Linked DNA regions of Sus scrofa. The protein of the gene in region 1 interacts with the protein of each later gene in a pairwise test. Links are inferred from orthologs where the notes say so. Each region holds a gene or a part of one and is shown on either strand. Other genes may lie near its edges.

Region 1 (3,422 bases):
TTTTATCTTGGGTGATGGGAGGCATACAAGTATTCTGAACAGGAGAACTAAGTGATCTTATTCATGCTATGCACAGAATAGGCTGAAGACAGGCAAGACTGGAAAGAGAATAGTTAAAAAGCTATTGTAGTAGTTCTAAGTCAGTGGTGAAAGTTGTTTGTCTATATATTTGGAGTAGGCTTAAAATGTATTTTAAAAGTGGAGCTGGTAGAACTTACTGTTGGACTGAACAGGGCATAAGAAAAAAAGAGGGGACACACAGCTGACTCTTAGGAATATTCAGAGCCAGGGCAGACTGAGCTAGGTGGATATGTCAGAGGCTTAGTATCAGGCTGGGGTTCTAAAGAAAAGTTGACAGGAATTCTTTTCAGTACCTCCAAAGAAATCCTAGTTCTCACATTGGAAAGAGTGACAACCCAAGGTGGATGAGGATTTATGTGAGAGAGAAGATTCAGCCTATATGGGAAAATTTCAGGATTCTTCAAGTCTCCTGTTGGAAAGAAAAAAAAAAATCCTTGGGATGATGGAAAGACTTAGGCTTTTCTCAGATGAGAGAGATGGACTGGTTTGATCTTTTTTTTCCAAGGATAAATAAATCCATTAAAACAAATGTATGCATATTTGTATATGTGTCTATGATGTGAACACGCATAGTTTTTGTATTTCCTTTAGCAAATTTTGTGCCAAGACTCAATTATCTCACATCTAGAATTTGTGTCACTTTGTGCTGCTGATACACTTCCAACCTATCTTCATTTAGAAATTCTTTTTTATACTGCTGCCCATTGATTTGTCTAAATTACCTGTGATGAAGGACCAGTTTTTTAAATCTCAACCTGTCATGTTTATAGAATACAAGTTAATTACTTGAAAAAGTGGAATTAAAAAAAAAGATTACAAAGTACAAGCCCAGTTTTTTAACTAAATCAACTGACATAAAAATTATTCTGTCAGAAGTTCCCTTGTACAGCAGGTTAAGGGTATGGTGTTGTCACTGCCATGGTTAGGGTCGAAGGAACTGGCCCAGGAACTTCCACATACTATGGACAAGGTAAAAAAAAAAAAAAAAAAAAAAAAAAAAATTACTCTGTCAAAGTGTAAGTTTCTTCCTTAGCCTGATATACCAAGTCTTCATAATCAGACCTCTGCCTACCTTTATACCCTTATCTCTTGCCATCATCTGCCATATAACCCTGTGTTTCAGCCTTGCTAAGGTACCTGCAGCTCTTGAAAATATTGTGCACCCTTTTTCTTGTTTGTGTATTTGCTTTCCTTTTGCCTGGAATATCTTTCTCCTTTTTCACCTAGATAATTCTATTTTTACTTTTATATCAGCTTACTTTTTACTTCATCCTAGAAGACCTTTACTTTTACTTGACACTACCCTTAAAATAGATATCCTTCCTTTATGTTCAGCAGTTACTCTCTATATACCTCTATCATAGTATTACACCGTTGTAATTGTTCACATACCCATTTCTCCACAAAGTTTGGGCATTATGAATATAAGATGTATCTGATCTCTGTATTTCCATTACCTAACACAGGAAATGGGCTTACATTTAGACACTTAATAAATGTTTGTTGCATGAACATGTAAATAAGTCATATGTTTCTGAAAAGAAAAAAAAAGTATAAGTTTCTAAGAGCTTACTCTCAATTTCTAAAATATCTTGCCTCAGACTGGTAATTAAACCATTTGTAAACCACATTCTGATTATCAGTAGCATTAAGCATTCAGACCTCAAACGTTTCACTGTCTATTGAACCAAATATAAACTTCTCGCCATGGTCTTAAAAATTCTGTACCAGTTAGCTCAGTCTCACTTGCCTCTAACAAGAAAGCCCTTATCTTCTCTTTAACACAAGGTACCGTTTTTTAACACATTCTGTTTTTGTCTCTGTTTACCCAAAGCATCCTGATACATCTTAAAGATGTTATATCAAAACTGAGGTGCTTATTGCCCTTAGATAACTTTCCTAGGGTCCATTTACCTAATCTTTACCCTTCCAGTATTCATATTTTCTTATATTTATCAGCATAGATTTATGTTATTTGTATTTTTATTAAAGCATATGTTACTTCAGAGTAAAGTCTGATTTTTACCATTGTAAAAATATATAGAATATAGCCACATAGATATCAAAACAATATAAAGTATATAAGTAATAACCTGCTAATCTAAATGTATATGTGCCTAGGGAGATAAAGCACTGGTGTCTATGGGAACCTGCATTCATCCCTTTACCCCCATGCCCTGCTTTCTCTTCTTGTCTTACTAGGCCTGTCTCCATTAACACTGGACCCTAAAACTGCTCACCCAAATCTCGTGCTCTCCAAAAACCGAACCAGTGTGTGGCATGGTGACATTAAGCAGGTAATGCCTGATGATCCAGAGAGGTTTGACTCAAGTGTGGCTGTGCTGGGCTCTAAAGGCTTCACATCTGGAAAATGGTACTGGGAAGTAGAAGTAGCAAAGAAGACAAAATGGACAGTTGGAGTTGTCAGAGAATCCATTCTTCGGAAGGGCAGCTGTCCTCTAACTCCTGAGCAAGGATTCTGGCTTTTACGACTAAGGAACCAAACTGATCTAAAGGCTCTAGATTTGCCTTCTTGCAGTCTGAAACTGAATAACAACCTCAACAAGGTGGGCATATACCTGGATTATGAGGGAGGGCAAGTATCCTTCTACAATGCTAAAACTATGAACCACATTTACACCTTCAGTAGCACTTTCATGGAGAAACTTTATCCCTACTTCTGTCCTTGCCTTAATGATGGCGGAGAGAATAAAGAACCATTGCATATCGTACATCCACAGTAATTTGTCATACTGTTGTATAAATTCGGAGCAATATTAAAGAGGTATTAAAATAGTTTACCAGTCTCGCTGGTTTCTCTTCCCAATTCATGGGGAACTCTAAAATAATGAAAAGAGGATTCACAAATGGAATTTCATACTCAGTGTGCTAAGTGGATTTCACTGGAGCTTTTCAAGATGTAGTTCTAATTCTCAGAGGTCTACTATGACACAGGAGACACTCTCAGGAGTGTGACCATCATAGTAATCTATTATTACTAGGGCAAAATGCAACTTGAGTTTGCAATGCTCAGGAAGCCTGTACAAACTTGTTTAGAAATTCTATCATGCTATCCTTATTCTCCAACATAATTATTCTTAATAGATTCATTTTTAGATGTGTTCCCCTTATCTTTTAACGTAAAAATTTTTTTGTCTCTTTGTCCTTTTAGGGCGGCACCTGCAGCGTATAGGTTTCCAGGCTAGGAGTCTAATCGGAGCTATAGCCACTGGCCTTTGCCACAGCCACAGCAACGCCAGATCCAAGCTGCGTCTTCGACCTATACCATAGCTCATGGCAACGCCAGATCCTTAACCCACTGAGTCCAGGGATTGAACCCG
Region 2 (3,749 bases), on another chromosome or scaffold:
AGGAGATTCCCTGGGAGATTCTGGGCCACACTTTGGAAATTCAGATCCTGACTCTCACAGTACAGTTGACCATCATGTTTCTTGAACAACACTGGCAGTCCTCCTTCAGGGATGCTGATAACCTGACGTCTCTGCCCTAACCATCTGGGAGAGTTGGGGAGGGGATATGTGGAAGAACAATACCTCTAGGGCCCACATCTGATTTGCTCAGGCTTTTCTCCTCCTGTTTATCTTCCAGCGCCACTTGTCGCTGTCATGTTAATTTCTGCAACAGTGCAGAGAAGAATGGGGGGGCGGGAGAAAATTTAAAGTCCAATACATTTGTCAAGCAAATGCTACCTCCTCCAAAAAATAATATTTCCGGATTCCTGGATCTCCTATGGGTGGAGGTGAAGGGCCCAGCGTGGAGGAGGAGCTCAAGGTACAACTTACTCATCATTCATTCATTCATCCCACAGCACGAATCACTCCACGCTGTAACTGTGTGTGTCTCCATCTGTCACAGATTCAATTCTTCAAGGAAGCGATTCTGTCTTAATTCAGTTGGTATCCCCAGGGCACAGTTCTCGGTCTTGAAAGGTGGGAACCCACCTATGCGTGGGTCAGAATTATTCGAGATGGAGAATGGGGGTTTAGGGTGGGTGGGGAAAGGTCAGTAATGATTGGTTTCTTCTCCCCCCCACCCCCAGTCCCCAGCCCCCAGCTTGTCCCTACAGCCTAGATGGGACCATCCTCTCTGGTCCTTCCATAACGTTCTGAATTCTACGGCAGTGAACATGTCTAATTAAAATGTTGGTTTGTTGCCAACCTTTCCCCTCCCCCTCCAGTCTATGAGACCGGGTTGACTCCCGGAGCTTAACACAGAGTAGGTGCTAGATAAACATGTGTTAAACAGATGGATGCATAAATGGATAGATGGATAGATAGCTGGATGGGTGGATGGATGGATGGGTGGGTGGATGTGCTAGTATCTGCTTGCTTCCTTCGACATTCTCCCCAGTCGGTGGGTTAAAGCACATTAGCCTGGTCAAGCTGCCGAGCAGCCGCGTCAGGGTCCCTTCCCCGGGGCCCCGCCCTGGTCGACCCCACCTTTCCGCGCCGCTCCGCCCCGCCGCCCCCTTCCCGGTGGCCCCTCCCCGCGCAGGTCCCGACTCCAGCCGCACCTCCTCCGACTCTGCAGTGGCGGCGGGGGAGGCGAGCCGGAGCGCCAGCGGGCCAGGGCCGGAGCCGAGCCGGGGTCGGGGCAACAGCAGGGACCCTCGGAGGCGGGGCCAGTGGGACCGCGATGGGCGTGGAGATCGAGACCATTTCCCCGGGAGACGGTACCGGGTGGCGGAGCCGGGGGAGGAGGAGGGGTCTCGGGGCGGAGCCCGGCGGGCGGGGGGCAGATTCCGAGGTGGCGCGGAGGGTGCTGAACAGGGGAAGCGGGCCTAGGATGGGGGCGGCGAGAGAAGACCCCAGACAGAACTGCTCGGGGTCTAGCAGACATCCTTCGCCATCCCCTTCCGCGTCTGCTCACCTAGAGGAACGAAGGCTGCGGCTGGGAGGCTGGGGTCTGCGGCCCGCCACCGCCCCGAGGGCCTCAGGCTGCTCCTGGCGCGGCTGGAACCGCTCGGTTATCCGCTACTGCTGATTTCCCAGGGCCGCGTTTTAGCTCCGCCTTCCCTGTCCTGCTGAGTGAGCTCTGGAAACAGGGGAAAGAACATGTTTGGGGTCTCTTCTGCTTGGGGCAGCCCCCTTCTAACGCCCTCGCCGCCGGGCCTCTGATCCGGCGGTCCCTGGGATCTGGGTGGTGAGGCGTTGTGGGGGTCGAGCCAGTCTGGAAAGGGAGGAGCACTTTCCCCGCTGCCTCTGCATCTTGCTTTATCCTCTCTGCCCCACTCAGCCTCTCTGGCCATCCTGTTCACTCACATTGCTTTCATTATGGGCTGCAACCCAATGGCCTCCAAACTTAAGCCTCTAGCCCAGACCTCCAATCTGAGTTCACGGTAGTCCCTTTATCCAGCTGCTGCTCAGCCTCTATCTGGATGTCCCATGGATCCCTGAAAGTCGGCAAGTCCAACGCCGAACTCATGCTCCTTGTCTTCCCCACTCCCAGGCTCTCCTCTCTGTTCTCTCTTTCCTGCCACGGGATTGGCACCACTTACTTTCCCAAGCCAGACATTCCAGGCATCACCCTTGTGTAATCGAGTCTGGATGAGCAAGGAGTAGCTATTTCTTTATTTTTTTTAAAGCAACCGTAAGTCAGACTGCTGCCGCAGCAGGATTTGACAGACAGACTGCACCTCAGACATTACTGGCATCCCTATACCCCCAGAAAAGTTGAGGTAACTCGGTTCCAGGCCACCTTCCTTATTGAAAAATAGTGGTCCCTAGAAGTCCCAGCCACATCCTTGGTTCACCAATGGGCTACAGGCTTCTTTTTCTGTGCTTATCTCCTTAAGGCCCTATCACACCCCCCGGGAACTGCCATAGAGTTCTACCTCGAGTCTGGAGACCTCTTCTTCCTTCCCTGGCTCAAGAAACCTTTAGAGTTTTCTCTCCCTATCCTCCCTCCCTGGCGAGGGACAGGTGGGATTTTTTCTTGAAAAGGATCAGATTTTTAGGCAAAGCCTGGAGGAGCTTTGGCTTTCTGCTTTTAGCTCATTCTAAACCCCTGAGTCAAGGAAGCACACAAGGGCCAGCTACCGTGCTGTAACCTAGAAGGGAGAAGGTACCAATTAATATTTCAGCAGCTAAGCTGCCATGCCAGGGATGCTGGTCTTTGTCAGGCCCACAGCAATCCTGCTAAATTCTCCTGCTGAATATCTCAAGGCTCCATCTCCTTAACCCCTGCCCTAGTTCAGGCCACCATCATCTCTCATCTAGATTTCTGTGCAGTCTCTAAACTAGTCTCATCTCCAGTCTCACCTCCTGGCCTTCCACCTGGCCTCCCAGCCCACCCCGCCGTTTTCCTCACCACAGCCTGAGGATTGTTTAAAAATGCATCTTTGACCATGCCCCTCCCTGGGCATAACATTTTTAATGACCCTTCCTTCTCCTTTTCCAGGCAGACAGTCATATGGCCTCCTGTTACCTTCCACGCTACAGCCTCATCTCTTACCATCAGTCCCTCCCCCCACCACTGACTTTCTCTAGCTTTATCAAGCTGTCTGCAAGTTGTTAAACACACTAGTCATTCAGCAAATATTTATTGAGCATATACTGTGTGCTGGGCCCTAGGTTTGTAGCAGGGAACCAGACAGGCTCCCACTACTGTTCAACCCAAGGCCTTTGAACTTTTCCCAAATTATCTCCCTTCCTCTGGCAAACTACTCATCTTTTAAGACCCAGTTAACCATTATCTCCTTTCTGATACATTCCCTGACACTCCCAGTTGCTCCCTCCTCTGGGTCCCCATGTAACTGTTGGCTCAGCTGTTAGCCCTCCCAAGTTTTTGCTATCCAGCCCTATGGCTTTAAATTCTACCCAAATTTTATCTCTAGTGCAGACTCTCCATCTGCCTCCTTGCAGTACAAACTCAGATGTCTAATAGACATCTCAAGATTGCCACCCTCACAAATCTGTTCCTCCTTAGTCTTCCCATCTCAGGAATCAGCTCCTCCGTCCTTCCATTCGCTCAAATCTAATCCCTAGGCATTGTGCTTGTTTTCTCCTCCTCCCTCATCATGCACCCCATCTCCACGCCATTAGCATGCCCTGTCAGCTCCAATTCTAAAATATATCTCCAGTCTATTTTACTCTTCTCT
Region 3 (3,749 bases), on another chromosome or scaffold:
CAGCATTCTAGCATTAGACCATAGGCCCCTGGGTGGGGTTATCTCCCAGATTCAAAAAGGCTTAGATTAGGTTGCTAGCACCAGGCCTATTCCACATCCCCTGCTCACTTACCATGACGTGATGGACAAGGTATTCCCAAGAAGCCCGTGATTGATGACTAACCACGATATCCACCGTGTCGTGGATGAAATACCCTAGCCGAGGGATGGGGAAGAGGTCATAAACGGGACTGAGCAAGAAACATTCCTGTCCCTCCCAACTACTTAATACGAAGCAAGACCTACCTGCAGAGAAACAAACGAGCAGATAGCCAGAAAGCGACCATGCTGTTTCAATCTCTACCAGCATCTCCGGGGTCTGCCATATACTGGATGGGAGGGAAGAAGGCAGGCGCTTCACTCGGTATCCCCAAGGACCCACAACCATGCCAGTGCCCGGGGAGTCTGGGCTGGTGCTATTGGCTGACCGGGAGCGAGGAGGGGCTTGGCTGAAACCCAGGTGTTCGCCGTTTCCCAGGTGAGAACCCCCCTCCCCTGGGGCTGCAGCCGCTCCTGGTTGGACAGCATTCTAAACCGGGAATCAGGTGAGACTGCCTGGGCCTCAGCCCGCCAATGAGTGATGGGAAGAGTAATGCGGGATCCCCTAGCCGCCTTCACTCCCCCAGTCCTTCACTCACCACAGCAGCGCCCAGGTCCCTGACACAATGGAATGGGCGAAGGAGACGAGCAGGTTGTGCCAGCGCCAGGTGCGCAGGGGGTCGGCGCGCACGTGCGCCGGTAGGGCCAGGCGACAGAGCGCGTGCCGGAGCGCCCGGAAGGTCAGCGTGGCGCCCAGGAGCAGCGGCAGGGCGGGGAGCAGCATTGGGGGCATGCTGACCCTCCCTGCCTTCTGTCTGTTCGCCCTCTAGGCCGCCTCCTCCGGCAGTTCGGGAAAGGGACTTTCTTTTGGGCTGGTCCACCCCCGACGCCTTTCCTGGCGGCCGCCAGCCTCACACACACTGTCTCCGCGGAGCCCTGTAGGCCCCCTTCGCTCCTCCCGTCCCTTCCCGTCCGGCCTCTGCCCCCGCCCCCAACCACCCGCGCCCCCGCCCCGCCCCGCCCTCCTGTCCCCGCCCCTCCGGCGCCTCCGCAGCGCGGAGGGCGAGAGCCCCATTTCCCCTCAGGCCCCCCAGGCCCCGCCAGGCTCCCGCGGACTTTGGGCAAAAGAGGCTGTCCTGGGGCCGCCACCGCCAAGCCACCCCTCGCTGGCGCCTCCCGACTGCCGACGGAGTCCCGCTTCGCTCGCCTGGCCTGGTTAACCCAAATCCCCTGGCGTCCCAGCTCCCCTGCCTGGGCGGGCCCTGAGAGAACTCTCTCCTCCCTTACCTCCTTTACCCGCAAAGCTGGGCGGGACCCGTCACGCACCCACGTCTTTTAAATCCCTAAACCTGGGGACCAGCCGGTGCCCCGTATCCGACGATGATCTCTCAGACCGTATTTTTCCGCTAGCATCTTCAGGCCAGAGTCGAACACGTTTACCTGCCTCTACCTCATCCCGCCCAAGTCACTGCCTAGAATCTGTCGACTAACCTATCACCACCCCTCCTCCCAGCCGGCTCTTGGGCTCCTGGGGCCGCGCGGCAGTCACAGTCCTCCCTCAGACAGTCCCAGCTCTCTTCTCCCCGCTTCCTGGAGGCCGGAGCGGGGAAGACGGCCGATGTGCCCAGGCCACCAGGGTGACCCTCACTTTGCCGGCCAGTGGCCTGGAGCAGTTGCAACTCACGACCGCTAGGTGACAGCCTGTCCTCACGCGGCGTGGGATCCCCTCCCGGCGTACAAGGAAGGAGGTGGTGTTTTTGCCCAAGAGTTAACCAGACTCAGCGAACGAAAGGGCGGAGGTAAAAGAGAAGGGAGTAGTTGGAGCGGGGGTGGGGGGCTGCTCTGAGAGTGAGGGAAAACCAGAAGCCTGAGGCGCCAAGAGGTTTGGGTGTTTGCTCTGCCTCCCCTGATGGCTCCAAGGTTACACATTAACCTCTCTGGGGCTCCGGGTCAACCAAGGCCTGATCAGTTTCTAGGTGAGAACACGGAGTGTCCCAGCTGAGTGGCTTTCCCCCTTGCCCTCCTCTGCTCACAGGGCAGCTTTGTCCGCCGGACACCCTGGCCTGAGCCAGCTACCAACAGGCCCTCATGGGGCCTTTCCAGTGGTCATTCCACGTGGGTAGTTTTGGGTACCCTTTCAAGGGCCAGGGTGGGAACAGAAGATAAACACCCCTTTCCTCACGTTCCTCACCCACTCAGAAATAGGGACGCTATCCCTTAGCTAATCATCGTCCTTCCTGCTACCTTAACTGAGATTTTATAGAGGTCATGAAGGGCAGAAGGCGGTGGGTAGACACCTGGAATTAAACTCACTTCCGGCCAAGATCTTAGACTATTGTACTACTAACCAGCCCCCCACCTCTGGGCAGAAGATTTGAACCCATATCAGGCGAATGATTCTTTCCTCCTCTCCCGCCTGGATGCCTTCAGGTGGTAGTCCCGTTCCCTCCCATTTTCCCCCAAGGAAGTTCTCCCTAGTTGAGTATTGAAGGCAGATTTCCCTGCGGCAGCGGCAGCGCTGTGTGTGTGCGTTGGGGAGTTGGTGTTGACAAGCGCAGGGCTCAGTCTTGACAGCAGTGTCACCTTCTGCCTAGTCGAATCAACTTGCACAGCTCGGGATTTCCCCGGTTCCTCCCTAGGCAAACACGAAACTAACCCTGCACCCTGCCCCACAGACCGAGAGCGCTGACTCTCTCGGTTCAATTTTGGTAGTGTCTATCGTTTGCATGCCAGTGAGAATCTGCCCTATCCTTCGAAGCAGTCACTAGTTTGCAAAGAGGGATGCGGAGCGAGATCGGTCCTCGCCTCCAACCCTCATTCGGCGTGCGCAGGGAACCCCTCCAGTCTAAGAAAGCTTTGCGAGGGCGAGATGCGTGTGTGGGAGGTGGCTGGTGCTGTGTTGGCCTTTGCGGAGCGCGCCCCCCAAAACAGCGTATTACTCCATTCCTTGGACCCTGGAAGGGCGACTGCGGATCCCGGCCACAGGAACCCTGCAAAACAGCCAAAGCAGATGAGAGGCTGAACCAACACCCAACTCCCCCGGCTCCGCCCCGTAATTATCTTGCAGAGCAGGAGGCGTGGCTCTAGAGAAGGCGGGTTCGCGCAAGCGCCGCGCCTGGGCTTGAGGATTCCGGAAATGTGACTCTGAAAAATGAGATGGAGAAGTACGAGCGGATCCGAGTGGTGGGGAGAGGTGCCTTCGGGTGAGCCAGGGCTCTGGGGGAGGAAATTGCTACGGGAGAGGGAAAATAAGCCCCGCGAAATCGCTAAGCGCGAAATCGTTGCCTGCTCAGCCCCGCCCCGAAGCGTTAGCGCCCTCTACGAGAAGCCCCGCCCAGGCTTCCGGTCCCGGTCCTGGATGGGAAACTCCGCCTCCAAGGAGGTCACGCCCCTGGCTCTTCTCTGCGCCCCCGCAGAGTTCTGTTGCTCTATCCTGATTCATTCATTCAACAAATATTGAGCGGCAACTATACACGTCAGGATCTTGGTGCTGTGCACACAGCTAAGCCCAAAAGAGGCGTGGTCTTTTCCCTCTCCGAGCTTACAGACTAACGGAAAATTAGAAAATAAACAGGACATTGTTAAAGCAGTGATCAACAAACTGCCTGTGAGAATAGAGTACACCACCAGGGAGTATTCCTTTGGGGTGGTGAAAGAAAATTTCTCGGATA

The links.
Region 2: the proteins of TRIM69 (region 1) and FKBP1B interact in binary tests that used the Homo sapiens proteins (3 or more experiments, as listed by UniProt). The two-hybrid records come from large-scale screens. The link is inferred for Sus scrofa from reciprocal best matches to the Homo sapiens genes TRIM69 and FKBP1B.
Region 3: the proteins of TRIM69 (region 1) and NEK8 interact in binary tests that used the Homo sapiens proteins (3 or more experiments, as listed by UniProt). The two-hybrid records come from large-scale screens. The link is inferred for Sus scrofa from reciprocal best matches to the Homo sapiens genes TRIM69 and NEK8.

Annotation. Positions count from the first base shown.
Region 1 is NC_010443.5:126,775,267-126,778,688, reverse strand, and holds the end of TRIM69 (E3 ubiquitin-protein ligase TRIM69), read left to right. Parts: intron 1-2,283; coding exon 2,284-2,825; 3' UTR 2,826-2,833; downstream 2,834-3,422.
Region 2 is NC_010445.4:114,632,056-114,635,804, reverse strand, and holds the start of FKBP1B (peptidyl-prolyl cis-trans isomerase FKBP1B), read left to right. Parts: upstream 1-1,135; 5' UTR 1,136-1,285; coding exon 1,286-1,322; intron 1,323-3,749. UniProt on the Homo sapiens protein: Has the potential to contribute to the immunosuppressive and toxic effects of FK506 and rapamycin. PPIases accelerate the folding of proteins. It catalyzes the cis-trans isomerization of proline imidic peptide bonds in oligopeptides.
Region 3 is NC_010454.4:44,961,953-44,965,701, forward strand, and holds the start of NEK8 (serine/threonine-protein kinase Nek8), read left to right. Parts: upstream 1-1,142; 5' UTR 1,143-1,877; intron 1,878-2,897; exon of another isoform or gene 2,898-3,145; 5' UTR 3,146-3,234; coding exon 3,235-3,281; intron 3,282-3,749. Other genes in the region: TLCD1 (calfacilitin), read right to left, coding at 113-368, 678-871. UniProt on the Homo sapiens protein: Required for renal tubular integrity. May regulate local cytoskeletal structure in kidney tubule epithelial cells. May regulate ciliary biogenesis through targeting of proteins to the cilia.